Linked DNA regions of Sus scrofa. The protein of the gene in region 1 binds, or shares a complex with, the protein of each later gene. Links are inferred from orthologs where the notes say so. Each region holds a gene or a part of one and is shown in the gene's direction. Other genes may lie near its edges.

Region 1 (4,428 bases):
ACCACAGAAGCGTGGAATCTGAGCCATGTCTGTGACCTACACCAACAGCTCAAGGCAATGCCAGGTTCTTTTTTTTTGTCTTTTTGCCCTTTCTAGGGCCACTCCTGTGGCACATGGAGGTTCCCAGTCTAGGGGTCTAGTCAGAGTTGTAGCTGCCAAGCCTACGCCAGAGCCACAGCAACGCGGGATCCTAGCCGCGTCTGCAACCTACACCACAGCTCACAGCAACGCCGGATCCTTAACCCAGTGAGCAAGGCCAGGAATGGAACTCACGTACTCATGGATACTAGTCAGGTTCCTTAACCACTGAGCCATGACGCGAACTCTTGGAAGTTGATTCTTTAAATGAATGGTTCTCAAAGTGCGATGCCTGGACCAGCAGCATCAACATCTCTGGAAACTCATTAGATATGCACATTCTTTTTTTTTTTTTTTGTCTTTTGTCTTTTTGTCTTTTGTTGTTGTTATTGTTGTTGTTGTTGTTGCTATTTCTTGGGCCGCTCCCGCGGCATATGGAGGTTCCCAGGCTAGGGGTTGAATCGGAGCTGTAGCCACCGGCCTACGCCAGAGGCACAGCAACGCGGGATCCGAGCCGCGTCTGCAACCTACACCACAGCTCACGGCAACGCCGGATCGTTAACCCACTGAGCAAGGGCAGGGACTGAACCCGCAACCTCATGGTTCCTAGTCGGATTCGTTAACCACTGCGCCACGACGGGAACTCCTAGATATGCACATTCTTAGATCACATCCCAGACCTACTGAACCAGGAAACCCTGGGGGTGGGGCCCAGCAAACAGTTATAACAGGCTCTCAGGGGATTCTGGCACACACTCAGATTTGAAAACTCCCGGCCTGGATAATGGTAATATTTATGATTGACCAGTAGTTCTTAAAGGGTGTTCTCCCTACAAGCAAAATCGGCATCACCTGGCAACTTAGGAATACAATTTATCAGGCCCCAGACTCACAGAACCAGAAATTCTGTTTTAACACACGCTCCAGGTGATGCCAATGCTAGCTAGACTTTGAGAAACAATGCCTAAAGCTGTATTTGCCTGACCACTGGGAAAGCCTCATGCGCTCCCATGGGTACCAGAACCTCTACTTGTAAAGCCTATTTCATAGTATATAAGGACAATTAGGATTCCTGCTGACTAATGAAGTGCCTGGCTGACAGTAGGTGCTCAGTGTTTGTTGAGTGAATTAATACAACAATCCTGAAAAATGGGAAGTTAGTTAAGCACAGGTGGGGTTCGCACGGCCATCAACCTGGACTTCACTATTGGAATTTTTTTTTTTTGTCTTTTTGTATTTTTCTAGGGCCGCACTCCTGGCATATAGAGGTTCCCAGGCTAGGGGTGCAGTCGGAGCTGAGGCCGCCAGCCTACGCTAGAGCCACAGCAATGCTGGATGTGAGCCGCATCTGTGACCACAGCTCAGGGAAATGCCGGATCCTTAACGCACTGAGCGAGGCCAGGGGTCAAACCCGTAACCCCCTGGTTCCTAGTGGGATTCCTTAACCACTGAGCCACCACGGGAGCTCCCACTATTGGATTTTGACGGGATTTTGTTTTTACTGCCCACAGGGCCGCCTCCACCCCCCATTCCCCCTCCGCCCGGGAGGTGGCGCTCTGGGGCGCCCATGAGGCCAGGCTGGGAGGCGGGACTTCCTGCCTTCGAGGAAGTACTTCTAGCCCAGCCCGGAAGTCAGAATATTCGCTGTTGTGGGAGGTCCCGTGGAGGGAGTTGAGCTTGGATTCAGTTTTCGGGCTCCCTCGTGGCGCGAGGGTCAGGCGAACGGCCCGCGGAGGTTCGTTTCTCAGGCGACCACGGCGAAGCCTAGGCCACGTAAGTGTGCACGCCGCCTGGCCGGCACTCAGCGGCAGGTCCCTCTGCTCAGGTCCGCGGGCTCCGAAGTGGTTTATTAGCAGCCGCTGGCTCCCGGAGTTGGGAGGATCCCGCCGCTGTAAAGCGTGGTAGCAACAACTGTCTGACACCCAGCGCTTGGTGCGAGATCTGTCTTGCTATTGTTGGGTTGAACTTCTGGAGCCTGGAGGTGGATGGGGAAGGCTTGGACGAGGGGATGTCTGAAGGGAAGGGCTGCCAGCATCCACTCTCCCATCCTCTGGCAGGCGCACCTTTTGCCGTGCCCGGCCTGGAATTAATGCCGGTGACTAACCCTGCATCCTTGGATGTCGAAAGGGGCTTGGAGAGCCCAGCCCGAGGGCGGGAAGTCGAGGCTGTCTTGTCTTGGGGCTTCTCTGAGATCATGGGCTCCACTAGCGCCCTCAGCCTATGTATTTGTAAGGCTGTTTGGTTTCTTTCTCCTCTCTTCCATTCGTTCTGGATTTGTTCCTTCAGCTTATAGATGTTGATTGTTACTATGTAGCAAATACCAAGGCACTGGGGATAAGGTCCCTTCCCCAGGGGGACTCTTAGAACAGTTTGGAATCACATAGCTTCATCCATAAGTCTCTAACCCCACACCGGAAGGCGTTCTTAGGAGGAAGGGTGCAGGGTGTTTGTTGTGGGCTAGGGTTGGGAGAACTGGGAGAAGTGTCCTGACTTGCAATCTGAAGGGTGAGTAGGATTTTTGTAGGTGGGTAGGAAGGGCAATGGGGCTCATTCTAAGCAGAGAGATAGCGATAAACGGTCCTGAAGTGAAAAGACACATTCCCGCCACTGCCCTCTCCTGTTACGGAAAAGAGAATGACAGCAGCAGCCAGACGCCAGGATCTCAAGAATGAATCAGATACTGTCTCTGCCTCTGGAGAGCAGTCTCGCAGAAGAGAGAAGACTACACAGAAACCACAAGTAGAATGAGGCCCAGAGAAACACATTCATTCATTTGACAAGTATTTACTTCACTTACTGTGCAGTGGACACTTCACGGGGTGCTGAGGGTACATGGATGTTGGAGGTTACAGAATAAACAGGCACAGTGCACCTGCTGTTGCTGGGGAAAGGGTTTTGCTTCCTGAAACTCTCATGCTGGTGTTTCCTTCTGGATGCACAGGAAAGCGAGTAGTGGTTCCGAACTTGGACTTTGAGTCTGGTGGAGGATCACGCTGTTGGCCTTGGGAAAGTCACTCTTTGCTGAGCCTCAGGGTCCTGAACTCTGTCTTAGAGGCAGAGGAAGAGTGAGACATGTAGTACCTTTGTCTGGCAGATGCTGGTGCTCAGTCAGTGAGCGCTGCTGTTATTTTTGTGGTTAATTAAAAAAGGGAAGAGGGGTTTGGTGTTCCAGTTGTGGCTCAGTGGGTTAAGAACCCAACTAGTATTCGTGAGGATGCAGGTTCAAACCCTGGTCTCGCTCAGTGGGTTAAGAATCTGGTGTTGCCATGAGCTGTGGTGTAGGTTGCAGACTCGACTCAGATCCCACGTTGTTCTGGCTGTGGTGTAGGCCGGCAGCTGTAGCTCCGATTCCACCCCTAGCCCAGCAACTTCCACTTGCTGCAGGTATAGCTGTAAGAAGAAATGGGAGGAAAGAAAAAGGAGGGATTATTTTTCTGCTTTTCTAGGACACTTTGTATTTACCAAAGGCCTTTGACGTAAATTTATTATTCAACACACAGTCAGCTACATTTTTTGGAAGGTACTTTACCTGTCAGTGGGAAGGCAGACAAATAAGATTCGTTGTCCCTGGCTTTGGGGACTTGAGTTTGTCTTGAGCGTGTCGTCTGAGGATGTATAATTAGGATATATGAAGGAGCGGGATGGAAGCTGACCCCTTGCCACCTGACTTGGTCCCGTCACCTACCTCCGGGTTCATTCCGTGGCTGCCTGGTTGTTCAGGGGGTGCCACATGCCTTCTGCCTCTGTGAAAACCACACCCTCCCCTCCCCTCCCTCCTGGCTGGCTGGTTGGTGTTCATGGAGCACTTATTACTGTCTGGCACTAGGCTGCATGTTTGTTCTTTGTTAGCTGCTTCCCCAAAGAAACTCTTCCCCCCTCGGGGCCCTTTTTGCCTTCCCTGCCTTCCCAGGAACACTGGCAGCTGCCGGCAGGTTCTGGTCTCTGAGCAAGGCCAGTGTGACGTGTGGCTCTCGTTTTCCAGGATGGACTTCCCCAGCCCGCTCCCGCCCTCTTTGTTTATGACCGGCCCCCTTGGTCTGAGCGGTGTCCCTGATGTGTCCTTCATGTGCAGCTGGAGAGACGCGCTGACGCTGCCGGAGCCCCAGCCCCGGGCCTCTGAGGTGAGGGTGGCGGGGGGGGGCCCGGGTGGTGCGCCTGGCCCCCCGCTCCTCGCACAGATCCGCGCCGGAATCCTCTCCTTTGGGGACCAGGGATGCTCTGCCGTCCACCGAGGGCTCCTGAGCGGGAGCTGTTGGCTTGCTTTCCTGCCTCCCTCTCCCTCTTCTTTCCTTCCTCTATCTGTCCAGCAAAGACTCACTGAACAGCCACTCCTGTGGGCCAGCTGCCTTC
Region 2 (3,698 bases), on another chromosome or scaffold:
CAGGAACTCCTCAGCGGAAACAAATCTGACTAGGATCCATGAGGATGCAGGTTCAATCCCTGGCCTCACTCAGTGGCTTAAAGATCCAGTGTTGCCATGAGCTGTGGTGTAGACCTCAGATGTGACTCCGATCCCACATTGCTGTAGCTCTGGCGTAGTCTGGCAGCTACGGCTCCTATGGCTCCGCTTCCGCCCTCTAGCCTGGGAACTTCCATGTGCCGCGAGTACAGCCTTAAGAAGAAAAAACAAAACAAAAACAAAAACCTAATCTATAGCCGTGGGGGGGAGGGGGCACAGGTTGCTATACCCCATTCCTCTCATTCTCTGTTCTTCTCTATTTTTCTTCCTATTTTCTCCGACTTACATACCATAGATTCACTTATTTGTTTGGTTTGTCCTCTTTTTCTTCTCACTAGAATGGAAATTCCGCAGGAACTAGAATATTTTCCTCTTCTGCTCGCGGTTGTACCCCAGCCTAGAGTATGCCGGGGCTACAGTGCTCAGCACATTTCTGTTGAGTGAGTGAGCGATCAGTACGTGTGCGTGTGTGTGTGTGTGTGTGTGTGTGCACTTATTTATACACGTGCTCTTCTCTTCAGTTTCAATACTTTACTCGAAATGTTGGATTAGCTGCTCTGTCCTGGATGTTGAGACGGGGTGGTGAATGTCTACACGTTCCTGTCATTGTTCTTCCAGGACAGGCCCTTCCAGGCAGTGTCATTGGTCCTGGGGACAGAATGGTGGGCAAGGGAGGTACCCTAACAGGAGAAACAGGGTCAAGGTCGAACTCCCTGAAGAAGTGGAGCGAATCGTGTGAGGGCAGCGCGGGAGAGAAGGCAGGACTGCCCTGTCTGCAAGCCTGCTAGAAACAGACAGACAAAGGAAACGCACCTTCTAGAACTGTTGTATCTATTTACCCGGAAGTGTAAGAGTTTATTGGGTAGCAACTAAATGTTTTCTGCACACATGGCTACAGAGCATAGTATCTATTTTCAGCATGATTATCCTTAAAAATGTTTAGGTTATAGGGTATATACTCAACTGCGTCTTACCTTGTCTTTGAGATACATTTTACCTCTTTTTTCGTACACATCCCTTATTGAAACTCTTTCTTTTCAAAAACGCAGGTTTGCAGAAGAGGACTGTATCCCTTACATAAACGCTTTTCAGCATTTTCCAGAAGAGATGAAACTCTACGGGCGTGACAAAGGAATCTTTGCTATAGAGGTGAGTTCCTTTCTTTGTACTTTGCAGTCAGAAGACACAAGAGTATTATGGTGAGGTTGCAGATTCGATCCCTGGCCTTGCTCAGTGGGTTAAGGATCCGGCATTGCTGTGAGCTGTGGTGTAGGCTGCAGACGCAGCTCAGATCCCGCGTTGTGGCTGTGTCGTAGGCCGGCGGCTACAGCTCTGATTGGACCCCTAGCCTGGGAAGCTCCATATGCCATAGGTGCGGCCCAAGAAATGGCAAAAAGACAAAAAAAAACAAAAAACAAAACTGTCACTTAGGAGGTTTTTTAAGTAATTGATTTGAAAATCTGCATAATTCATTAATTCGTAATTTTAAATTTAGCTGCTAAACGGGCCTCGTTTAAATGTTCTTCCGAAAAGCTACTCAGTTCAGTGATTCTAGGGGTGTCTTTGGTTGGTGACTTTCCCTAGAGGACCAAGGGGACTGAGTGGTGCGTTCCTGTGGGGACCGCTCAGCCTTGGCGGCCCTGTCTCTCCTCTCCTCCTCCGTGGCTCTCCCTCTCTTCCCTTCTCTTTCCTCTCACTTCATCTCCTGTCTGTTCTGTTTCTTGTATCCTTATTGACTGGGTTTTAACCTGATTTCTCAGAGCCACTCATCACTCAGATTACATTGAAATTTTTGCTGGTCGAGGTTATTTATACTTTTTGTTGGCACCTTACTGTTACTTGTCTTAAAATCCCTAACCAAATTGTAAGCTTCTCAGGAATAGACATCAGCATTTTATATAGTCATGGAATATTAAAACTGGAGGGAAATTTAGAGATCTCTTAAGCCTCTTATTTTTTCAAGAAGAAATGCAACTTGGGAATAACAAACCTCACCTCATTGGGGTTTTCAAGAGACAGTATATTCAAAATGCAGACCTATCACTGACCTAGCACAGACATTGAAATGGTAATAGGCTTCCTTCCAGCCTCCAGGGTGGAAAAACTTTTCCTCTGAGGTAGAGATTAAGAGGATAATCAAGCTGCTAGGGGAAAAAAAAATGTATGTATCAGTTTGGGAAAATAAAGTTTTTGTTTTAAAAGTCTGTTAAGGAGTTCCCATTGTGGCTCCGCAGGTTAAGGACCCAACTAGTATCCATGAGGATGTGGGTTCTATCCCTGGCCTCACTCAGTGGGTTAAGGATCCTGTGTTCCTGCAAGCTGCAGTATAGGTCGCAGATGTGGCTTGGATATGCCATGGCTGTGGTGTAGGCCTTAGCTTCAGCTCTGATTTGGCCTCTAGCCTGGGAACTTCCAGGTGCCACAGGTGCAGCCACACACGCACACAAAAAAGGTCTATTAAAAAACAACCACCTTGAATGTGCCATTTCTACGTTTTTCAAAGTAGGTTCTACAAAGTCCATAGATACGACTCTTGCTTTTCATTAAGGTGGTTTGTAATTTTGGTTATCATAAATTCAGCTTATAAAGGATATTGCTTCCTTGGCTGGGTTTATATGGTGTCTACCAGTAATTTCCTTGTGAATTAAGGAATTCAGTTTCACTTTATGCATACTCACAAAGACGCTCAGATTTCACTCAATAAAAATAATTATTTTAAAAAATTTATTCTGTGTCCTTTCAAATAGTAATAGATTACATTATTACCAAATGTTTAAATGACTGCAAGAGTGACATATAATGCACAGACCCAAGTGAGTCTTACTGTAATAGCCAGTGTGGCTCATACTTTCCAGAAGCTTAGCTTAAGCCTTTGCTTAATATTTGCATTGCCCTCCTGTGAGCAATATGGTAAGAAGTCCCTACAAGTATTACAGCCACATTTTGGGGCGGCGGGTGGTGGGGGGGGAAATGGGGGAGGCTGCACCCATGGCGTGTGGAAGTTCTGCAGCCAGGGATTGAGCCTGTGCCACAGCAGCTACCCAAGCCACTGCAGTGACAGCCCTGGATCCCTAAGCTGCTGTGCCACAAGAGAACTGCATTATACACATTTCTGTCTGGTGATAATTCAAGGTTTCAACCTGAAATATTACCGTCTCAGTGTTGTGTCAAATCTGTACCATTCTCTGCCCCAAGATACAAGTTTAGTAAGTTGAGGTGAAGTGAGTTATTTATACGTCCACTTGCTCGTTATGTTTTTGCTCCGAAACCATTCAAATACTAATTTTACTTATCCTGTCAGTTACTGAGAGAAGAATATTGAAATCTCTAACTGTGATAGCAGCGTTTCTTTAAAATTCTATCAGTTTTTGCTTCAGGTCTTTTGGAGCTCTAATACTAGGTCATAGTACTTAGGATATTTGTCTTCTTTATGAGTTGACTCCTTTATCACTATGTAATGTCCTTCCCGCCCCCCCCCGATAATGTCTCTTGTTCTGACATTCACCTTGTCCAATATTCATATAGCCGCTCTAACTTTTAAAAAAATTAATGTTTGTACAATACATCTTTTTCCAGTCTTTTATTTTTAATCTATTTCTTTATATTTAAAGTCAATTTCT
Region 3 (3,698 bases), on another chromosome or scaffold:
TTTAAATCTGGGAATAGACCTCACCAAGCCATTCGAATACCTTCTTGCTACTGGGAATCTACGTTCTAAAACAGGTAAAATTAAAAAGACGGGCTTCATTTAGTGATGATTTTCAAATTATTTGCTTAATAGAGATTTATTTAAGAATGAATTTCTGAGGAGTTCCCGTTGTGGCTCAGCGGTTAACGAATCCGACAAGGAACCATGAGGTTGCAGGTTCGATCCCTGGGCTTGCTCAGGGGATTAAGGATCCGGTGTTGCCGTGAGCTGTGGTGTAGGTCACAGACACGGCTCGGATCCCGCGTTGCTGTGGCTCTGGCGTAGGCTGGCGGCTACAGCTCCAATTGGACCCCTAGCCTGGGAACCTCCATATGCCGTGGGAGTGGCCCAAGAAATGGCAAAAAGACCAAAAAAAAAAAAAAAAGGAAAGAAAAAAAAATGAATTTCTGAGAGTTCCTATTGCAGCTTAGCAGTAATGAACCTACCTAGCCCATGAGGATGTCAGTTCAATCCCTGGCCTCTCTCAGTGGGTTAAGGATCCAGTGTTGCCGTGAGCCCTAGTGTAAGCTGGCAGCTTCAGCTCCAATTTGACCCCTAGCCTGGGAAATTCCATATGCCACAAGTGTGGCTCTAAAAAGCAAAAAAAAAAAAAAAAAAAAAAAATGAACTTCATCAAAGGCGGATTTCAGGTTACAAATTTTGATAGGTGGATGTTGGCCTAAAGGCTGTAGACAAGTTGTCTGTATAGCTTTATTCTATTTTTAATGGTCACATGCGTTTTCTATGCCTCCTTCTAGAAAACTAAAGACAGCTTAGCTCTGAGGAAAGGTTACCTAGGTGGGGAGTCTAGGAGGCTTGGTATACATGCCCTTCCCTAAACCAGTTACATCAGAATGACTGGAAAATTTTAAAAAATGGTTAGAGCCCAGAAATCTGCTTTTTTTTTAAAAAAAGAAAAAACTATGGGAGTTCCCTTCGTGGCTCAGTGGTTAACAAATCCGACTAGGAACCATGAGGTTGCAGGTTCAATCCCTGGTCTTGCTCAGTGGGTTAAGGATCCGGTGTTGCCGTGAGCTGTGGTTTAGGTTGCAGACTCAACTTGGATCCGGCGTTGCTGTTGTGTAGGCCGGTGTCTACAGCTCCAATTAGACCCCTAGCCTGGGAACCTCCATATGCTGCGGGTGCAGCCCTAGAAAAGACAAAAAAACAAAACAGTTCTTCTAATGCAGATTCTTTTTTTTTTTTTTTTTTTTTTTTTTTCTTTTTCTTTTTTTGGCCATGCCATATGGAGTTCCCAGGCTAAGGATCAGATCCCAGCCACAACTGTGGCAACGCCAGATCCTTAACCCACTGTGCTGGGCCGTGGAATCAAACCTGTGTCCCAGCGCTCCCAAGACACCACTGATCCCATTGCACCACAGCAGGAACTCCAGATGCAGGTTCATTAAGAGCTGACATGCTTGTGTGTCATCCAGCCTTCTGAGATGAGTCCCATTTAATTACTTGCTATTGTATTATTAATTTAATAAAGGAGAATGTGTAGAGGAGATGAGGAAAGAGTCAAGGCTAATACAAGTTGGTGAAATTTGGGGGTTTTTGCTATTTTTTGTAACCCCTTCTTCTACCAGAGCTGAGTAACCTCAGTAATAACCCACTTTGTGATCTTTAGGTTTGTGCTCTGAGGTTTTGTCATCTTTTCATCACCTCCAATACAAATTTTCGATGATTTTTGTTTTATGAAGGTCTTGGCTTCCTGCAGGATTCTGGACTCTGTGTCGTGGCTGACAAGCTGAACTTCATACGCTACCTCTCCCACTTCCGCTGTGTGCACAGAGGGGCTGATTTTGCCAAGATGCGGACGACCACGGTGCGCAGGCTGCTGCCAGAGTCCTGGGGCTTCCTCTGCCCCGTGCATACCCCTGATGGGGAGCCCTGTGGTCTGATGAACCACTTAACCGCCACGTGCGAGGTCGTCACCCAGTTCGTGTATACAGCCTCTATTCCAGCTTTGCTCTGCAGCTTGGGTAGGTGGGGCACAGCCATCAGCGGGCCTGTGTGCTTGTGGGGGTTTTAGCAGGTGCAAAGCTACTAAGTTGTGCTTCTGCGTGAGTTGAGCAGAGAATTCCTGCAGGGATGATGAGTGAAGCATTGGGGATAACCTGTGACATTTGGGGAAACACCTGCTGTCTTCAGAAGGTGTTTATGGCTCATGAAAGAGTGTTCTTAAAGTTCTTGGTAATTGCAATACTTCTGTAAAGTCACCATTGGCACTGAATTAGCAGATACTGAGGTACTGCTTCTGGGGGAACAGGGATTAGGTTCTTGCAAGTCTCTTGTCATAACACCTTCCTCACTTGATTGGTACATAGCCTTGTTTTGTGTTTCTGTTTAAAGATGCCTTAGTCAATATATATTGTTGATCCACTAACATCGAGCCCTCAGCCAACAGCACCATAACTCTGAGCTTATCTAACACAGTTTTCCAGCCTTGTGCTTGGGAGCCAGGACTTTATTTAGTACTGTGCTTGAAGGCCATTTTAAATAGCAAAGTCTCCAATGAAAAGCACAAAGATGCAAAAAATAAATAAATAGGGCCTGGGACAGACCATGGGAAGGATGTCTGTCTATAGTATTAGCTGAGACCGGCAAACTGCACGTCACCTCCTTTGACCTCAGCTGGGAATTCGTGTCTCAGACAACTCAAAATTTTCACTGAATGTCCTCTGGTGATCGGAAAAGTGCCACTAGTATGAAGCTGGGGTTGCAAATAAATTTTAGCAAGTAGGCAGATTTGTGTTGCGTGAATAATGCAGATCAATTATAATTAGATTTTTGGGGAGAAGTTGGTATGTTTACATGGCTCAGAAATAAAAAAGTGTATGGTAAAAAGCCTCCCTTACACCCCTGTCTGCAGGGTGCTCTCTAGGGGCAATTGCAGACACGCAATTTGGGGGGTCCTTGCTGAAATGATTTAGAAATTTACTCAAGAATACAAAAACATTCTGCTTTAGAGATAAGATGCCTAGATGTCTAAAATGGTGATGCCGACATTGAACCCATCTGGAGGGAATTTAAATGTTGGGGAAAGGAGCCTGAGGTGATGGTTCTGTGTGTTCGATTTCCCCAGGGGTCACTCCCGTGGACAGTGCACCACATCGGCGGTACAGCGAGTGCTACCCTGTCCTCCTGGATGGCGTCATGGTTGGCTGGGCAGACAAGGAGCTCGCTCCTAGCATCGCTGACTCCCTCCGACATTTTAAGGTGCTCTTGAGTTCTTGTGAGGTGTTTTGTCCCTCCATCTTAGCTGTTTGGTCTTTTTCTTGTTGTCAAGGAAGCCCCAGGGCCTTCTCCAGGGTCAAGGGCTCTAGAGGCCAGAAGCTGATCCCAAAAGTGCCTTTTACATTCTCTCTGGTGGCAGCCAGCATCTTACCTTATACTCACCTCATTGGTTGGGGTTAGTGACAGGTATTTAACCTGTACTACCCCCTTTTTTCTGTGGTGGTGGTTTTATTGAGGGCTCTGGTCCACTCACTAACACATTTTTAACTTTCTTTTTCTTTGTAAATATTAGTGGCGTATAGGGGACCCTAAAATACAGACTTTATATTTCAAGTAATATTAAAGATATGCCAGATACAAGTCATCCTGTTGCCTACTGGGATTTGAAAATATATTAAAAAAAAAAAGGAGTTCCTGTC
Region 4 (3,698 bases), on another chromosome or scaffold:
CCCGTTTGTGAAGAGTTACGTAGAGGTAAGTGGACTTTTCATAAATGTCTATAAATCTTTGTGCTTTGATTCAAATTGCTGGAGTTTGGGACGCATTTGTGAAGAGTTATGTGGAGGTAAGTGGACTTTTCATAAATGTCTATAAATCTTTGTGCTTTGATTCAAATTGCTGGAGTTCAGGACGCATTTGTGAAGAGTTACGTGGAGGTAAGTAGACTTCTCATAGTTTCACCAGTTTCATTCTGTTATAAGCTTTATCGTTATTGATTAGAAGGCAACTAATGGAGAAAATGGTTTAAAAAAAGGGAATATGATGCCACTTTTTTTTTGTCTGCATAATTTTTATTTTACCAAAGTACCTTATATTTTCTCTTACCAACATGCTGTACATGTGACGGTATTTTTTTCACCCCTGGATAGCATGTCGTGGCCAAATACAGTTGTCTCTCAGTAGCCGTGGATGCTCAGTCTTTATGTGTGCAGTGTTTGCATATAACCTATGCACATCCTCCTGTTGACTTTAAATCACCTCTAAGAGTACTTATAAAACATGTAATAAATTGTAAATGCTATGTAAATAGTTGCCTGTGTACAGCGCATTCAAATTTTGCATTTTGAAAGTTTCTGAATTTTTTTTTTTTCTGAATCTTTTCCATCTGTGGTTGGTTGAACCCTAAAATGAGGTCTGAGAGGATTCAGGGCCTGTGGCTGATGCTGACTCTGTTTATAAAGTTATTAGCCTTCTAGTTGTAAGTGTCACTTCTGTGTTCTTCTTGAGCTTCTGAGAAAAGCAGAAAGTTCTCTTATGATTTGGTGGGGTATTGCTGGGAAGGAGCTAAAACTCTGGAACTACGTCACAAATATGAGACGAAGAGTGGCTTTCAGAGGCTCTTAAGGATGTCCTGCCATCTCAGAGTCACTGTGAAAGGACAGAGCGCGCTGGCCCTGGGCGGTGGGAGTAGTTCATCAAAATAATTTGCTTTTTGGCTTTCTTGCTGCCCGGCCGTCTTGGCAGCTGCTTGTGGTTGGGGGCGTCACGCACCTAAGGCAGGAAGATGGTGGCCACAAAGAAGATGAAAAAGTTGCTGGAGTCAATCAACGCTCGGCTCCAGCTCGTGATGAAAAGTGCCAAGTACGTGCTGGGGTACAAGCAGAACTCCGAATGACCAGACAGGGCAAAACGGAACTGGCCATTCTCGCCAGCAGCTGCCCAGCCTCGAGGAAATCTGAAATCGAATGTCACGCCATGTTGGCCACAACTGGTGTCCATCACTGCAGTGGCAAGAATATCGAACTGGGCACAGCACTGGCCATCACTGATCCAGGTGATTGTGGTATCATTGGCAGCATGCCAGAACAGACTGGCGAAAAGTAAATCATGCATGAGTTTTCTTCAATGAAACCAGCTGGGCTTGCTTTTTAAAATAATAATAATAATAATTTGCTTTTTGGAATTCCCGTTGTGGCTCAGCGGATTAAGAACCCGACTAGTGGAATTCCTGTCATGGTGCAGCAGAAACGAATCCGACTAGGAACCATGAGGTTGCAGGTTCGATCCCTGGTCTTGCTCAGTGGCTTAAGGATCCAGCGTTGCCATGAGCTGTGGTGTAGGTTGCAATCATGGCTCGGATCTGGTGTTGCTGTGGCTGTGATATAGGCCAGCGTCTACACCTCCAATTGGACCCCTAGCCTGGGAACCTCCATATGCTGCGGGTGCGGCCCTAAAAAGACAAGAAAGAAAAAAAACCATTTTGCTTTTTGGAAGTTTCATTAGTGCTAGTGCTGAAGTGATGATTGTATTATCAGAAGATAATCTCTGAAACTGCCAGCAAATCTGGAAATTCCTGTTTCAGAATGGGAAAGAATGCAAAGAAAGGAGTTATAATTCTTCCGCCCTCCCTTTGTGGCTGACGTGACATTGGGCCCTGTGATGGGCTGCATCATGTGGTCCTTCTTTAGCCCTTAGTGTGTCCTACTTTGAAGACGTCATGTCTCATAGGGACAGTTTTTCATGTAGACACTTGCTGCATCTTTCTACCACAAAATAGGATAAGGAACAAAAAGGGGAAACCGTGTAGGCCTTTGTTGTGATCGTTTAGCAGTTTTCTGATTTTTTTTGTGCTCATCAATAATGTCAGCTTGTGCAGTCTATTTCATATAGCCCTCTTACAGAATTTAGCAAAGATGTTTTGACTTATTTTATATAGATGCTGGAATTCTATGGGGATCGAGACGGAGCCCGAGAGGTGCTCACCAATTACGCCTATGACGAGAAGTTCCCGTCCAACCCCAATGCTCACGTCTATTTATACAGCTTCCTCAAGCGAGAGAAGGCCCCCAGAGAGAAACTGCTCCGTGTGCTGAAGGTAGCGCGCTTCCTATCAGCGAGCAGGGGTGGGGGCGCACTCTAGCCCGTGTTTTAGCCAGGTCTTGGGACAGCACTTTCTGACATTGATGTCATAGCACCCAGAGACAGTGACAGTGTGCATACGGTACACTGAGGTCAAGACAGGAGGCCCCACGCAGACCCCCGCCCCATCCCAGGGGAGACCAAGCGGAGGGACCCGTGTGTCAGAAGCCCTGCGTCACCCTGGTTGGGAAGCTCTGCATTGCAGTTTTTTTTTTTAAGTGCACCTTTATTTGAAACTTATGTACAATAAAACACTTATTTTACGTGTACCTTTGGATGCATTTCGGCAGATGGATGCGTCCACACGATCCCTGTGATAACTGAGATGTGAAACATGCCTTCAGCCTAGAAAGCCCCTCATTGCCCTTCTCAGCCAGTCCACCCTCTGACCCTTTGCCCCGGGCAGTCGCTGACCGGCTGTCACTGTGGGTTGGTTTTCTCTCTTCTTGAATTTCATGTAAACAGCGTCCGACAGTATGTACCCTTTTTCTGTCTGTATTTTCTCACTCAGCCGAATGTTTGAGATTCATCCTTGTTGTAATTTGTTCCCTGTTACTAATGAGCAATATTCCATTTCTGTATATTCACTTCTCAGTGGACATGGATGTTGTTTTCACTTTGGGGCTATTATGAATATCCCCGTGGGTATGCATGTGCATGATTTTAGGAACCTCTATTGTCCTTTTTCTGTGGCAGCTCCCTAAGAGCGGCACTGTGGAAGGTCCGTATTAAACTGCCCAGCTGTCTTCTGCGGTGACGGTACCACTGACCTTCCCGGTACCAGGGTGTGAGTTCAGTTTCTCACACCCTCTTTGGCATTTGGTATTCAGTCCTTTGAATCACAGCCATTCTAGTGGGTGTGTAGTGGTGTCTCAAGGGCTTTTAATTTGCATTTCCCTGATGGCTAATGATGTTGGACATCTTTTAATAGGCCCGTTGGCTATTCTTACACGTCGTCTTTTGTGACGTGTCTGTTCACATGCTTTATTTTTTGGAGGCTTATTTGTCTTCTTATTGATTTGGAAGTTTTTCATATAATTTGGATAAAGTCCGTTGTCAGATATACAGATTGTAAATATTCTCTCCCAGGCTATGGCTTGCCTTTTTGTTTTCTTTACAGTATCTTTCAAAGAACAGAAATGTCTAATTTTGATTAAGTTCAATTTATTCATTTTTCTTTTATAGTTAGTACCTTTTGTTTAAGAAACCTTTAACCAGAGTTCCTGTCGTGGCTCATTGGTTAACGAATCCAACTAGGAACTATGAGGTTGCAGGTTCAATCCCTGGC
Region 5 (4,459 bases), on another chromosome or scaffold:
CCGGGGGCGGCTACCGAGGTCGGCGCTCAGTAGGACCTGGGGCTGCAGGCTGCTGAACCGTCTAAAGCCGACTTTCGGGCCCAATCTCTCTCGAGAGAGCGGTGCCCTCACTTGCTTTGCTGAAGGAGCCAACGGCTCAGACCGGCCTGGCAAGGCCCCTCTGCTCCGTGGGGGGTGAGAAACAGAACTGGGGAGACTCGGAGGGGGACGCTAGGCCCAGAAGAGGGGTGCTTGGAACTGGAAACTTCGGTTTCTCTCATCCCCCTTCCTTTCTTTGCGACTGTCCCGGGGAGGTGCACCTGGAGCTAGCTGGCCTGAGGCTTGTGCGTGGGTGGAGCCGGAGGGAAGGGAGGTCTAGGTGCTGGGGAGGCCGCTCCTGGGAGGCGGGCGTGGGGGGACAGAGGTCGCTTCTCCTTGGCAGGGCTGAAGAAGAAACCCGAGTAGCTGCTGACGTCTAGCTGCCAAGGGGGAACAGCCTGCTGGGGCTCTGCGTTCTCTATCAGGCTCCGGAGAAGAAAAGTGCAAAGGGTGGGGTGAACAAGTGTGGGGTGAACACAGTCAGAGATAGAGTCAGGGGACAGGCCAGTGCCCAGGAAAACAGGCATTGTGCAGGAGGAGGCAGTACCAGGGTGAAGGGGCAGGTGGGAGGCAGAGGGGGTTCCCAGGAGGGAGTGCCCAGGAAGGGGACAGTGTGAGAACCAGCACCCTAGAGGAACGGGCAGTGTAAAGGAAGAGGTGGTATCCATAGGAGAGGACAATGCCGGGATGAAGGAGCACTTAGGAGAACGTGTCCAGAAGGTGAGCGCAGTGGTGGAGGAAAGGCCAGAACCGAGCCGAAGGGGCAGTACTGAGGAGAGCAGTGTGATGGGGTTAATACCATGCTGAAGGGGCGGTGCGAGGTAAGAAATCAGGGGTGGGGAGGGTGCAGTACCAGAGGAGGAGACAGTGCAGACTTCCCTCTTCCCCATGGTGACATCATGGCAAATTCCCAAAGTGGATATCACCGGGTCGGGTGACATCCAGCTGGGCCCAGCCGGCCTGGGCCAGCCCGGGATTCCTCAGTGCCAGCTAGAAGGACTGGGTACGGCACCCTACTTGGCCATCGCCCTGGGGGCGTGGTTCTGCTCCGCTAGCCCTTTGCGCGGACTGTGCCCTCGGCAGACCCGCGGACCGACAGGGTAGGGCTAGGGCCAGGATTCTCTGGGCCAAGGATCAAGGTCCCTGGCTGGGGTAGGCCCCCAAGCACTCCAGTCTTCCTAACCCGGCATCTGAAGAGGGCGCACTAGAGCCTCCGGAGAGAGCGGGACACCAAGCCACCCCCGGCTGGAGGTGGGACCTATCGTGTTCCCGCCCTGGGAGGAGTTATCTGGACGTGAGACCGCCCTAAACACTGAAGCCTCTCGGAAGCAATCGTTCGGGGCGGAAGTTAAGAAGCCCCGAGAGCTAGGCGGCGGAAGTAGCTGCGTTACTGCTGGTCTGTGCGCATGCGTCCTTCTATTTCTTTGCTGCCGCTCTTCAGGCGCTGCATTTTCCTCTCTCATTTTTCTCCACGCGGGGCCGTGCCCTGCTCCGTAGTCTTCGTCACGCGCTCAGCACCTCTGCTTCTCTCGTGGCCCCCTCACCATGGCGGGCATTCTGTTCGAGGATATTTTTGATGTGAAAGACATTGACCCAGAGGGCAAGAAGTTTGACCGAGGTGAGTAAGGTTTGTAGGGGCGGTTTGGGAGAAGCGGCTGATCTCAGGGACACGCCCCTGGGCCTCTTGTCCACACATTTCATGTGGTCTTCCCCTACCGGCAGGTCCTGACCTAGGGGCCTCTCTCAGGAAACGTTTTATAGATGAGAAAACGGAGACTTCGAGCTCTCCCTCGCTTCACACATGCTGTGCCCGGTGCCTGGGTGACCTTTCTTCATGGTGCTGGTAACCTCCTTGGCATCTTTTTAATCGCTGCCCACTCTGCTAGGCGCTGTGCTGTGCACTTTACACACATTGCCTTACTTATTCCTTTCGAGAGTCTCCACGAGGTAGGTGGTGTCTTACCCATCTTCTGAGAGGCTGAGCAACCCACCCAAGGCTGTACAGCAAATAATCCGACCTCAGGGCCTGTTGCCCTCAGAGTCTTAGCTCTTTGTGAAATCCTCTCTAAGAGTTGACTGCTTGGTATACACCTCCTTGTTCTGACGTTGATCAAGAATTATTTGTCCTTGGTGTCTCTTCCTTTGCTTAGAGACTGAGATATTCTTCAGAACAAACAGCAGGTGTTTGTTTGTTTGTTTGATTTTGTCTTTTTAGGGCCAGACGTAAGGACATATGGAGGTTCTCAGGCTAAGGGTCGAGTCAGAGCTACAGCTGCAGGCCCCACACCACAGCCACAGCAACGCCAGATCCAAGCCCCGTCTGAGACTTATACCACAGCTCACAGCAACACCAGATCCTTAATCCCCTGAGCTGATCCTTAACCCACAGAGTGAGGCCAGGGATTGAACCCCCATCCTCATGGATACTAATCAGGTTTGTTACCACTGAGCCACGGACAAGACCTCCCCAAACAGCAGTTCTTAATAATCTCCTTAGCACAGCGCCTGGCACGGAAAGGCAAAACCTTTGGATGACTGACTTGCCCCAGAGCAGGTTGTTTCTTAGTCACCCATGCAGGCCTAGAACGTGATATTATTTGTTGCCAGAGGACCTTTGATTCTTTTCTGGGCATTCTGTCCACCAGCCATAGTTTTCTGCCTCTTTGCTTGTATATGTGGTTCTTATTGAGCCTGTACTTCTATGAGAGCAGATGAGAGGCCATTGGATACAGATTAAGTATTCTGTGCATACAGTTTCTCAAAGTGGGGTCTGCCCTGCCCTTGAGGGTCTACTTGGCCAGGCAGTTACCTCTGCTGCTCTTTTTCTGTTTCCCTCCAGTGTCTCGACTGCATTGTGAGAGTGAATCTTTCAAGATGGACCTCATCTTAGATGTAAACATTCAGATTTATCCTGTTGACCTGGGTAAGTGTTGAACACAAACAATAACAGCAAGTGTTTTTGCATTTCAGACTCTGATATTGCTGTTATTTTCAGGTGACAAGTTCCGGTTGGTGATAGCCAGTACTTTGTATGAAGATGGTACTCTGGATGATGGTGAATACAACCCCACAGATGATAGGCCTTCCAGGTGAGGAAGTACTTGAAATATGCCTGAGGACTAAATAGATAAGTAGTACAGAAAGACCCTTAGTTACTTCATAGAATAAATGTTTATGAACAGAATCTATGTAAACTTAAGGAAATTGCCGCACTTAATTCAAACAGGAGTTCCTGTTGTGCCTCAGTGGTAATGAACCTAACTAGCATCCATGAGGATGCAGCTTCCATCCCTGGCCCTGCTCAGTGGGTTAAGGATCCGGCGTTGCTGTGAGCTGTGGTGTAGGTTGCAGACATAGCTTAGATCTGGTGTTGCTGTGGCTGTGGTGTAGACGTGTAGCTGCAACTCCGATTCTACCCCTAGCCTTGGAACTTCTATATGCCTTGAGTGCGGCCCTTAAAAAAAAAAAAAGACAACAACGAAGGATACAAACAATGAGTTCTCTGGGAGCTCAGCAGGTTAAGGATCTGCTGTGGCTCGGGTTGCTGCTGTGGCCTGGGTTTGATCCCTGGCCTGGGAACTTCCTTGTGCTGTGGGTGTGGCCCCCCCAAAAAAATAAATAAAAGGGAGAGTTCAGACATCCAGGTGTTTATCCAGAGCAGTGATTACAGCATGAGTTGCAGCTTTTTGGGGGAAGGGGGGCATGCCCACAGCATGCAGAAGGTCCTGGGGCCAGGGATCGAACCTCTGCCACAGCAGTGACATTTCCAGATCCTTAATCATTAGGCCACCAGGAAACCTCGAGTTGTAGCTTTTTGATGGCTGAGGAAATGACCACTGAATGACGTAGGCTGTGTAAGTCTTGTGTCTCAGGAGGGAATTTTGTGTGAGGAAAGGCTTTAGAGCCCCACTCAGTTCACATCTCATCTCTATCACTTATTTGTTGAATAACATTTGACTTCCTTCAACCTTAGTTTCTTCATCAGTGAAATACCTACAGTTATACCTCGCTCACAGGGTTGCTGTCGGGACTAAATGATGTGATGTTTGGAAAGTGCCTGTTGTTATGATGTTGGCACTTAGTTATCAGTTACCATTTTTAAAGGGTCTCTTATTATTGTTGACTGTGTATAACAATAACTGCCACTATTGTTCCACAGGGCTGACCAATTTGAGTATGTAATGTATGGGAAAGTGTACAGGATTGAGGGAGATGAAACTTCTACTGAGGCAGCAACACGCCTGTAAGTTCCATGGTCTTGTGAGAATCTTCTCCCCCTTCCCTTTTGTGAGAATCTGGACTATGCTCTGAAAATTTGGGCCAGGCTCAGGCTTCTTGGGTCTCTCTCCCCAAGCACCTTAGACCTAAGCAGGACCTGGAA
Region 6 (4,168 bases), on another chromosome or scaffold:
CATGGTGCCAGGCCAGGGATTGAACATTTGTCCCAGTGTTCCCAAGACGCTGCCCATCCCATTTTGCCATAGAGTGGAACTCCTGTATCAGTGATTTTTGCCTTCCGATGAATACAAAGTAAAAAATAGAAGTAAAAAATATAACTTCTACAATTTATTTGAAAATCAGTCATGGGAGTTCCTGTTGTGGTGCAGCAGAAACAAATCCAACTAAGAACCATGAGGTTGCGGGTTTGATCCCTGGCCTCGATTAGTGGGTTAAGGATCTGGCCTTGCCCTGAGCTGTGGTGTAGGTCACAGACATGGCTCAGATCCTATGTTGCTGTGGCTGTGCCATAGGTGGGCAGCTGTAGCTCTGATTCAACCCCTAGCCTGGGAACCTTCATATCCTGTAAGTGCAGCCCTAAAAAGCAAAAAAAAGCAAAAACAAAAAACAAAACAAAACAAACAAACAAACAAACAAACAAAAGGAAAAACAAAAGAACAAAACGAAACATAGCTCAAGCAACAGCAAAGCCAGATCGTTAACCCACTGAGCGAGGCCAGAGATCGAACCCACAACCTCATCGTTTCTAGTCGGATTTGTTTCTGCTGTGCCACAACATGAACTCAAAATACAAAAAACATTTTGATGCTGAAATTTAAACATATAAAGAGTGGGAACTATGATTTTTAATCTACAAATACCATGATCTCTCTCTTTTTTCTTTTTAAGGCTGCACCTGTGGTATATGGAAGTTCCCAAGCTAGGGTCTGAATCAAAGCTGCAACTGTGATCTACACTATAGACAAGGCAACAGCCACCAAAGCACATGAGCCATACCGGGTCCTGCAGAGAGCCCTTGCTTGGGTCGCAAGGCCCAAAGAATGCTAGAATTACTCCCAGAATATTTCGCTTTGTTTTCTACCACTGTCCAACCGCCACAGTGAAGTGCAGATTCAGGAACCGCTGGAGTTTGCAGTTCTCCAGTCCAAATAAATAAATTAGTACTCTATAAGGTTGGTCCGACTTCTCAGGAGAAACGCTCCCCGCGACTGGGTCCTGGTAAAATTCGAGACCAATAAAATAAACATCCCAGGACTGAGTCCTGAAGGGAAAAAATAACCTGAGGCAGGCGCAGCTTCGTCACCTATTTTCGTATCCAACGTAACAGAACCAGGCTGAAGGGGGCGCCACAATCTTCCTTCAGAACCGCTCCTCTCCCTCTCCAGGCTCTCGGGATCACAGTTGCAATTAATTATGACGTCACAGCCAATCGAGAGCCGGGACGCGTGGACTCTCTAGCCCGCCACGCGCTCGCTGCTCGGTTGCCCGCGCGGAGCCGGCGCTCTAGCCCGTGAAGTTGACTTGCTCCTCTCGCCTGCCCCAGGAAAGACCCCCAGCGTAGTTGTACCCGACGCGGGATAGGGATTCCGGAAGTTTGGGCTCCTTAGTCACAGAGGCACAAGGTATGCGTAGGAAGAAATCTCGGGTTCTGCATGCTTACGTCCAGGGACAGAATAGGCATGACCTCTCTGGGGAAGGGGCTACTCTCTTAATAAACTCCTCATCCCCTTCCCAGCCCTCGACCACCCGTCTGTCATGGACCTCGCCCGCACATCCTCTAGCTTTCAGTCGGACTTGGATTTCTGTCCGGATTGCGGCTCGGTCCTGCCTCTGCCCGGGACTCAGGATGCGGTCATTTGTACTCGCTGTGGCTTCTCCATCAACGTGCGGGGTGAGGTGCTGCTACGCCGCGGCTGGGGCGGAGGAGGGCCCATGGGGATCTCAAGATCGATTGGATTAAAGACGGGGACCCGAAAGCGCAGGATCAGGCACTTATACTTTTGGTCGGCACGAAACCTGATGGGTAGAATATAGCTTCCTGGCCTAACAGAGAGGGATTAGTGTGGTGTCAGCCCCCTCCGCTGTCTCCACAACCAATTCTTACTGCCCGCGCAGACTTTGAGGGGAAGGTTGTGAAGACCTCAGTTGTGTTCCAGAAAGTGGGGACAGCCATGCCTATGTCGATGGAGGAAGGACCTGAGTTCCAGGGACCCGTGGTAAGTGAATCACGTCGAGGACTGGCCCTGTAAAGAGGGTGGGAACGAAACGGAGGGCTCAGATCTGGAGAGTTTTGTACACAACAGGGAAGAAGAGTCTTTAAAACAGTAGTGACTGGGGAGAGTTTTCTTGTGGTGCAGCCGGGTGTTAAGGATCTGGCCGGCATTGTCACTACAGCGGTTTAGGTCGCTTCTGTGGCACGGGTTCGATCCTCGGCCTGGAAACTTACACGTACTGCAGGTGCAGCAAAACAAAAACCAGCAGTATCTGAGGAGTGTGGTAGCTTGATGTCTGTGAGAAGTAGTGGGAATTATTAACCTACCAGTTGCTTCCCAGGTTGACAGGCGCTGTCCTCGTTGTGGTCATGAGGGAATGGCATACCACACCAGACAGATGCGCTCAGCCGATGAAGGGCAGACTGTCTTCTACACCTGTACCAACTGCAAGTGCGTATCCTTTCCCTCCATTCTGCCCCTTCTGGGTCTCTTTGCTGCCAAAATCCCGTGATTTAATTTAAATCCAGTGGTTTAATTTTTGTACTTTTTGGACTGGTCGCATCCTTCATTTCTGTACAGTTCAAGTAATAGGTTTGTGATCGTTTTCTTCCTTCCTTCCATCCTTTCTTTCTTTCTTCCTTCCTTTCTTTCTTTCTTTCTCTCTCTCTCTCTCTTTCTTTCTTTCTTCCTTCCTTCCTTCTTTCCTTCCTTCCTTCCCTCCCTCCTTCCTTCCTTCCTTCCTTCTTAGGGCTGCACCCCGTGGCATATGGAGATTCCCAGGCTAGGGGTCACATCCGAGCTGTAGCCTCTGGCCTCACCACAGCAACAGCAACGCCAGATCACAGCAACACCGGATCCCAGCTGCGTCCACAACTTACACCGCAGCTCACAACAATGCCAGAGCCTTAACCCACTGAGTGAGGCCAGGGATTGAACCACATGGTTCCTAGTCGGATTTGCTTGTGCTGCTGTGCCACGATGGGAAGTTCTGTGGTCTTTTTAAATTTTAAATAATTACTCTTTTCCTATCTTTTTATACCCAGTGAATTAAACCTTTTACAATAGTTAAAAGGAAATGAGTATTGGTTTGTGATCAGTGTGTTATGTTGGACTCCTCCACTGCCCTCAAGGTAGTTTTACTTTGGTGAGAGTCAGTCATGGATGATTTAAAAAACATGGGTTCTTTATTTTTATTTCTTTATTTTTTTTTGTCTTTTTGCCTTTTCTAGGGCCGCTTCCCGAGGCATATGGAGGTTCTCAGGCTAGGGTCTAATCAGAGCTGCAGCCGCTGGCCGACGCCACAGCCACAGCAATGTGGGATCCGAGCCAAGACTGCAACCTACACCACAGCTCACAGCAATGCCAGATCCTTAACCCACCGAGCAGCCAGGGATCGAACCCACAACCTCATGGTTTCTAGTCGGATTCGTTAACCACTGCACCACGACGAGAACTCCCAGAACATGGGTTCTTTAAAACATAGTTTTAAGAATTCCTCTTTGTCTTTGGTGTCCTTCAATTTCACTACAATCTATCAAGATGTGGCTTTCTTTTATTTATCCTGTTTGGGATGTGTTGGGCCTTCCAACAGTGAGGGTTGACCTTTTTTCCCCCATCAACCTTGGAAAATTATCAGCTGTTATCACACTGAATATTTCCCTCATATGCTCAGTTCTCATATTCTTAGAGTTCTAACTGATTAGCTCTTTATTAGGCCTTATCTTCTATCCTCCATTTCTCTCACCCTGTCTCCCATATTTTCCATCTCTTTTCTCTTTATGCTGTTTCTGGATAGATTTTTTAGTTCTGTTTGATTTTTTTGTGGCCATGCCGGCAACATGTGGATATTCCTGGGCCAGGGATCAAACCCTAGCCCCTGCAGTGACAGTGCTGGACTTTAACCCACTGCACCACAAGGGAAATCCTGATTATTTTTCAAATCATCTTAGTTATTTTTAATAATTCCCAATTCCTTAATCATATTTTAAGTGGTTCTTTTTATTCATAAAACATATTACATGTAAACATTAAACATGATATTTATGTTCTATGTCTGTTAATTCTCAAACCCACTGTTTTTGTGGGTCTGATGCTGCCATCTGTTATTTCTGCTGACTCCCTCATGGTG
Region 7 (4,164 bases), on another chromosome or scaffold:
TGTAGGCTGGCAGCTGTAGCTCTGATTGGATCCCTAGCTTGGGAACTTACATATGCTGCACCTGCAGCCCTAAAAAACATAAATAAAATAGAATAAAATTTTATTGGGGTATATGTGATTTACCATGTTTATTAGCTTCAGGTTTACAGCAAAGTGAATCAGTTATGCATATAAAATACATGCATTTTCATTTTGTACTGAGCTTCACAAACTGCATATGCAGGCCTGCCTAGGAATATAGCAGTGACTAAGACATGTGATACCTGTCCTGGAGCTGACAGTACTTCATAATGCCTAGAAAACCAGACTTTCTGCGCCTGGAATTTAGAACAACATTTAGAGAAAAATTGAGTAAAGAAACCTGATTACCTTCCAGGTCTGTCCTATCCCGAGATGACACTAACCACAAATTAACACGAGACAGCTTTCCTGGTTTTATTATATGATACAAGAGGTCTGAAAGTAGACAAATCAGGACAGCTCATTCCTTTTTTGTAACTACTTCGGGGGAAAAAATTGCCACCAAAACTAAACTAGTTTAACTTCTACCTTAACACTCATTTACCGCTCAGGGAACTAAGAGGGCTAAAAAGAAAAAAAAAAAAGGCCCCCGCTGGCATCTCTTGCGATGTGTTAACCACCTCCTGGGAGGCTGACCCTTAGTTCCAAAAGAAAGACTGAGTTAACAAAACAAGTCCGAAGGTGGAGAGGGAACTGAGTGCGTAACTGGATAACAATGGCTTCTAGTACAAAGGTTACACATTTCGATTCTCAGTCACAGCATGATCCTCTCACAATTTTACACAGAAGAGATTTTTGAAGGCAAAAGTAGACACACACACAAACACACACACCCGGAATCAGACTTTGGAAAGTCGGAGGACAGCTCAGCAAAGGGAGACCACTGGAGTCAAAGCAGGAGAAGTGGCTCTTCCTCGCAGTTCACATTCATTCCGTTCCCCTGCCCCCACAATTTCTTTTTCATAGTTTGCCCAAACGTTCTTGACTATTCCATTTACCTTACCGGTTCAGGACGCGTACACCAGAAGCCTGGCCTGGCCTCAGTCAAGTCCGCCTCCCCTGGGTTAAAAAGCTCAGGTCCCGCCCACTCTAAATCGCCCCGCCCCTCGCGGCAGCCAATATGGAGCGCCGCGTCTGGTTTTCTCCTATCTCTCTGTTATTTCCTGCAGTCAAATTGTTATCGCGAGACTTCGGGGCCACTATTAGCTGGGACGCGGGACTAGCCCAGCCTTTTCTTCCGCGCGTTTGTGGAGGTTGGGTGTTTTCTGGGCCTGCGCGCCCAACGCGGGTTTCTGAGGCCGGGGCTGCAACCGAGGACGCCAACGGAGACCCGTGCGCAGAGCGGGCACAGGTTGGTATAAGCCGTCCGCGGTCTGGACGGATAGGAAAGAGGACTTGGGCGCCGGGGCCTTGTGGGCGAAGGAGGGGGAGGGCCTGGCGCTTTTCACTTTTCCCGGGACGCCTGCGCGGCTCAGCGGGAGCGGAGGGCTCGCGGTGATTGTGGGCTCTGCTCTGGGCGGCAGGACTCACAGGTACAGGCTAAGCGCGTGGGCCGTTATCGGAGTTGTGGGTGTTGAAGTGCAAGTGTATTGAAGCGAGTGCACGTTTTCTCAATTAGTGGTGGTTAAGTGCGAGGTAACCGTTACCGACGCCATTTTCCTTGCACGAGGTTAGGCACTTCTGGAGACATTCGCCCCAAGGTCGCACTAAGTAAGAGTTGAAGGGATTTTGTTAAAGCTGCTAAAGAGCACTGCCTGGCTCCGTGGCCCCTTGTTGCAGAATCCCGGAACAGGAAGCGATAGGAATGCTTTCTAGTTCCCGAAAGTTTTTTTTTCTTATTTTTATCCCCACACCCGCAGCATATGGAAGTTCCCAGGCTAGAGGTTGAACCGGAGCTACAGCTGCCGGCCTACACTACAGCCATGCAGAATCCGATTTGGATCTGTGACCCAAGCAGCTTGCAGCAACGCGGGATCGTTGAGTGAGGCCAGGGATTGAACCCGCATCCTCACGGAGACAGCGTCCCGTCCTTAACCCACTGAGCCACAATAGAAACTCTTGAAAAACATTTTTGAGTTAAGCTTACTTAATTTTGATAGTGTGCTCTGTAATTATTTTAAACTTAATGTCAGGTATTCCATCATTGCCATTGGATCCAGTTTTTGTTGAATTTCTTTTTTAGGCTGTTTTCATGATTTATTTCTTAGGTTAACGCAGTTTTGAAAACTGCAATAAAACACTATGAAATTATCACACGAGTCCATGAGACATTGTGAATTTAAGATCTAGGTGATCTTATTGATTTCTTAGATTTCAAATACTGCTGCTGAAGGATTTCTTTCATCATTACTCATGTGTCATTACTAAGAATGTTAGACTAAGAACACCACAAAAAAATGAAGAATGATGACATCCTCATAAGGAAATGAAACAGAACAAAATAAGACATCTTTAATACTTTTCCCAAACTACTGTAAAATCTTCCAAGGAGATTTTTTTTTAAAGGAGACAAAGGGCACCATTTATTGTAGTCTGTACATTGAAAAGTGAGAATTCAGAACTTTGGGTTAACACCCATAGTAGCAAAGAAGTAATTTATCAAGGAAGGGGTTTCACAGTAACTTAAAATCTAGTGAGGGAAAGAGGCCATAAATGAAAATTGCAGACCTGAAGGTTAGGTTTAGGTAAGTCCAAATAATTTTTCTGGGTATACTGAGGCCAAAGGCTGCCTTTGTGGGACTTAATCTTTGTTATGCAAGAGATTTCTTGGTTCCCACCACTGTTGGCAAATGGCTTTTTGGCCATTAATTGAACATTACTATTTGTAACTACATGACTGTATGGCTAAGGGTAAAAATTACATTTTTACTGTTAGGGAAAAGAAGTTTGACACTCCTGTAGGAAATCTGGAATCTTGTTCTATAGGATGGATTAAGTAGGCACAACTGAAAGAACCCATGAATAAAATCTTTAGATGTTAGAATTAGACAGTTGTATATGAGAATATTAAAGGCCTTACATTCATTTTTGTCTTAATTTTCGTAATTGACTACATCAATATCTGCATTACTCTGATCCTAGCTGTTTTGTTGGCATTTATTTGTTCAGGGAAACTACATCACATCTACCAGATTTCATATGGTCAGAAGTCTGTTTAAAGCAAAGGACAAGTGACAATTTTGAGAGGAGCTTGAAGACTATATATCAAGATGGATTCTCACAATTGTACAACAGTTTCTGATTCAGCTTTGGAAATTGAGAATCAAAGGTAAGTGTTTTTCTAAAAAAATGTCTACATAAAAAATATGCACAACTGTGAGTTAAGTTTTATTTGGGGCAAAATGAGGATTTAAGTCTAGGAGGCAGCATCTCAAGTAACCCAGAGAGAACTCTTGCAGGGTGACAAGGGGAGGGTCCTGTAACGAAGGGCAGATAACCTCAAGTTAAGGAATTCAGCACATGTCTTTGTATGAGAAGATGCCAAGGTCTGGGTTCACTGAAATAACGTCTTTGATGTGCACCTCAGCTGTCTCTAGCCAGTATCCCCTGTTTTTCCATCCTGAGTTTCCTCAGGGCTCACTATATGGTGTGGCTGCTGGCTGGCAGGTGTTTCTTGCCTGTGTTCGCTCAGGGCTCACCAGCTCACCATCGGAGGTGGCTGAAATCACTGATGACTGACATCCTTTGCTTACTGATAGAGCAGGCAGTGTTTTTATTTCTCAGTTAACTACCACCAGGTTTTCCTGGGAACAGACTAGGTGATAATGTTTACTGTATTGGAATTGCTGTGATAGCATGCATCATTGTAGATAATGAATAGTTTGTAAGGTAATTTTTAAGAATTGGAAAAAAAGGAAAACCCAGTTTCCACAGACTTTCGCTTTAACTACTTTGGAATAGTGGGACGTGTTTGTAACCCAGGGAATCAAATCAGGAGTGTATTCTCTGGGCCAAATTGGTATTTTCCTGACTAAATCATTCTGTTGTGTAACAAGAGAATGGATATTCTGATATTTCACATTATTAAGGATGCTGGTTTATGTATGATGGAGATAACCAGTTACCTAATCCATTGATCTCACTGGGAAATCAAATCAGCATTTCTAGTATATTCACATCAGGTATCTACTAGGGCTACTCTTT

Evidence for each region.
Region 2: TAF1C (region 1) and TAF1B share a complex: the UniProt entries of both Homo sapiens proteins name them as parts of the transcription factor SL1/TIF-IB complex. The link is inferred for Sus scrofa from reciprocal best matches to the Homo sapiens genes TAF1C and TAF1B.
Region 3: TAF1C (region 1) and POLR1B share a complex: the UniProt entries of both Homo sapiens proteins name them as parts of the pol I pre-initiation complex. The link is inferred for Sus scrofa from reciprocal best matches to the Homo sapiens genes TAF1C and POLR1B.
Region 4: TAF1C (region 1) and TAF1A share a complex: the UniProt entries of both Homo sapiens proteins name them as parts of the transcription factor SL1/TIF-IB complex. The link is inferred for Sus scrofa from reciprocal best matches to the Homo sapiens genes TAF1C and TAF1A.
Region 5: TAF1C (region 1) and POLR2H share a complex: the UniProt entries of both Homo sapiens proteins name them as parts of the pol I pre-initiation complex. The link is inferred for Sus scrofa from reciprocal best matches to the Homo sapiens genes TAF1C and POLR2H.
Region 6: TAF1C (region 1) and ZNRD1 share a complex: the UniProt entries of both Homo sapiens proteins name them as parts of the pol I pre-initiation complex. The link is inferred for Sus scrofa from reciprocal best matches to the Homo sapiens genes TAF1C and POLR1H.
Region 7: TAF1C (region 1) and TAF1D share a complex: the UniProt entries of both Homo sapiens proteins name them as parts of the transcription factor SL1/TIF-IB complex. The link is inferred for Sus scrofa from reciprocal best matches to the Homo sapiens genes TAF1C and TAF1D.

Annotation. Positions count from the first base shown.
Region 1 is NC_010448.4:4,447,056-4,451,483, forward strand, and holds the start of TAF1C (TATA box-binding protein-associated factor RNA polymerase I subunit C), read left to right. Parts: upstream 1-1,616; 5' UTR 1,617-1,851; intron 1,852-4,060; 5' UTR 4,061-4,061; coding exon 4,062-4,199; intron 4,200-4,385; exon of another isoform or gene 4,386-4,428. UniProt on the Homo sapiens protein: Component of the transcription factor SL1/TIF-IB complex, which is involved in the assembly of the PIC (pre-initiation complex) during RNA polymerase I-dependent transcription.
Region 2 is NC_010445.4:126,562,196-126,565,893, reverse strand, and holds part of TAF1B (TATA box-binding protein-associated factor RNA polymerase I subunit B), read left to right. Parts: intron 1-1,127; coding exon 1,128-1,227; intron 1,228-3,698. UniProt on the Homo sapiens protein: Component of RNA polymerase I core factor complex that acts as a GTF2B/TFIIB-like factor and plays a key role in multiple steps during transcription initiation such as pre-initiation complex (PIC) assembly and postpolymerase recruitment events in polymerase I (Pol I) transcription.
Region 3 is NC_010445.4:43,957,225-43,960,922, reverse strand, and holds part of POLR1B (DNA-directed RNA polymerase I subunit RPA2), read left to right. Parts: coding exon 1-74; intron 75-1,742; coding exon 1,743-2,024; intron 2,025-3,127; coding exon 3,128-3,261; intron 3,262-3,698. UniProt on the Homo sapiens protein: Catalytic core component of RNA polymerase I (Pol I), a DNA-dependent RNA polymerase which synthesizes ribosomal RNA precursors using the four ribonucleoside triphosphates as substrates.
Region 4 is NC_010452.4:11,348,921-11,352,618, reverse strand, and holds part of TAF1A (TATA box-binding protein-associated factor RNA polymerase I subunit A), read left to right. Parts: coding exon 1-25; intron 26-32; exon of another isoform or gene 33-1,523; intron 1,524-2,207; coding exon 2,208-2,366; intron 2,367-3,698. UniProt on the Homo sapiens protein: Component of the transcription factor SL1/TIF-IB complex, which is involved in the assembly of the PIC (pre-initiation complex) during RNA polymerase I-dependent transcription.
Region 5 is NC_010455.5:122,250,132-122,254,590, forward strand, and holds the start of POLR2H (DNA-directed RNA polymerases I, II, and III subunit RPABC3), read left to right. Parts: upstream 1-1,497; 5' UTR 1,498-1,623; coding exon 1,624-1,696; intron 1,697-1,800; exon of another isoform or gene 1,801-1,839; coding exon of another isoform or gene 1,840-1,921; intron 1,922-2,917; coding exon 2,918-3,001; intron 3,002-3,073; coding exon 3,074-3,167; intron 3,168-4,237; coding exon 4,238-4,321; intron 4,322-4,459. UniProt on the Homo sapiens protein: DNA-dependent RNA polymerase catalyzes the transcription of DNA into RNA using the four ribonucleoside triphosphates as substrates.
Region 6 is NC_010449.5:22,625,555-22,629,722, forward strand, and holds the start of ZNRD1 (DNA-directed RNA polymerase I subunit RPA12), read left to right. Parts: upstream 1-1,316; 5' UTR 1,317-1,449; intron 1,450-1,562; 5' UTR 1,563-1,582; coding exon 1,583-1,718; intron 1,719-1,942; coding exon 1,943-2,043; intron 2,044-2,380; coding exon 2,381-2,490; intron 2,491-4,168. UniProt on the Homo sapiens protein: Core component of RNA polymerase I (Pol I), a DNA-dependent RNA polymerase which synthesizes ribosomal RNA precursors using the four ribonucleoside triphosphates as substrates. Can mediate Pol I proofreading of the nascent RNA transcript.
Region 7 is NC_010451.4:26,164,340-26,168,503, reverse strand, and holds the start of TAF1D (TATA box-binding protein-associated factor RNA polymerase I subunit D), read left to right. Parts: upstream 1-1,221; 5' UTR 1,222-1,372; intron 1,373-3,129; 5' UTR 3,130-3,230; coding exon 3,231-3,289; intron 3,290-4,164. UniProt on the Homo sapiens protein: Component of the transcription factor SL1/TIF-IB complex, which is involved in the assembly of the PIC (preinitiation complex) during RNA polymerase I-dependent transcription.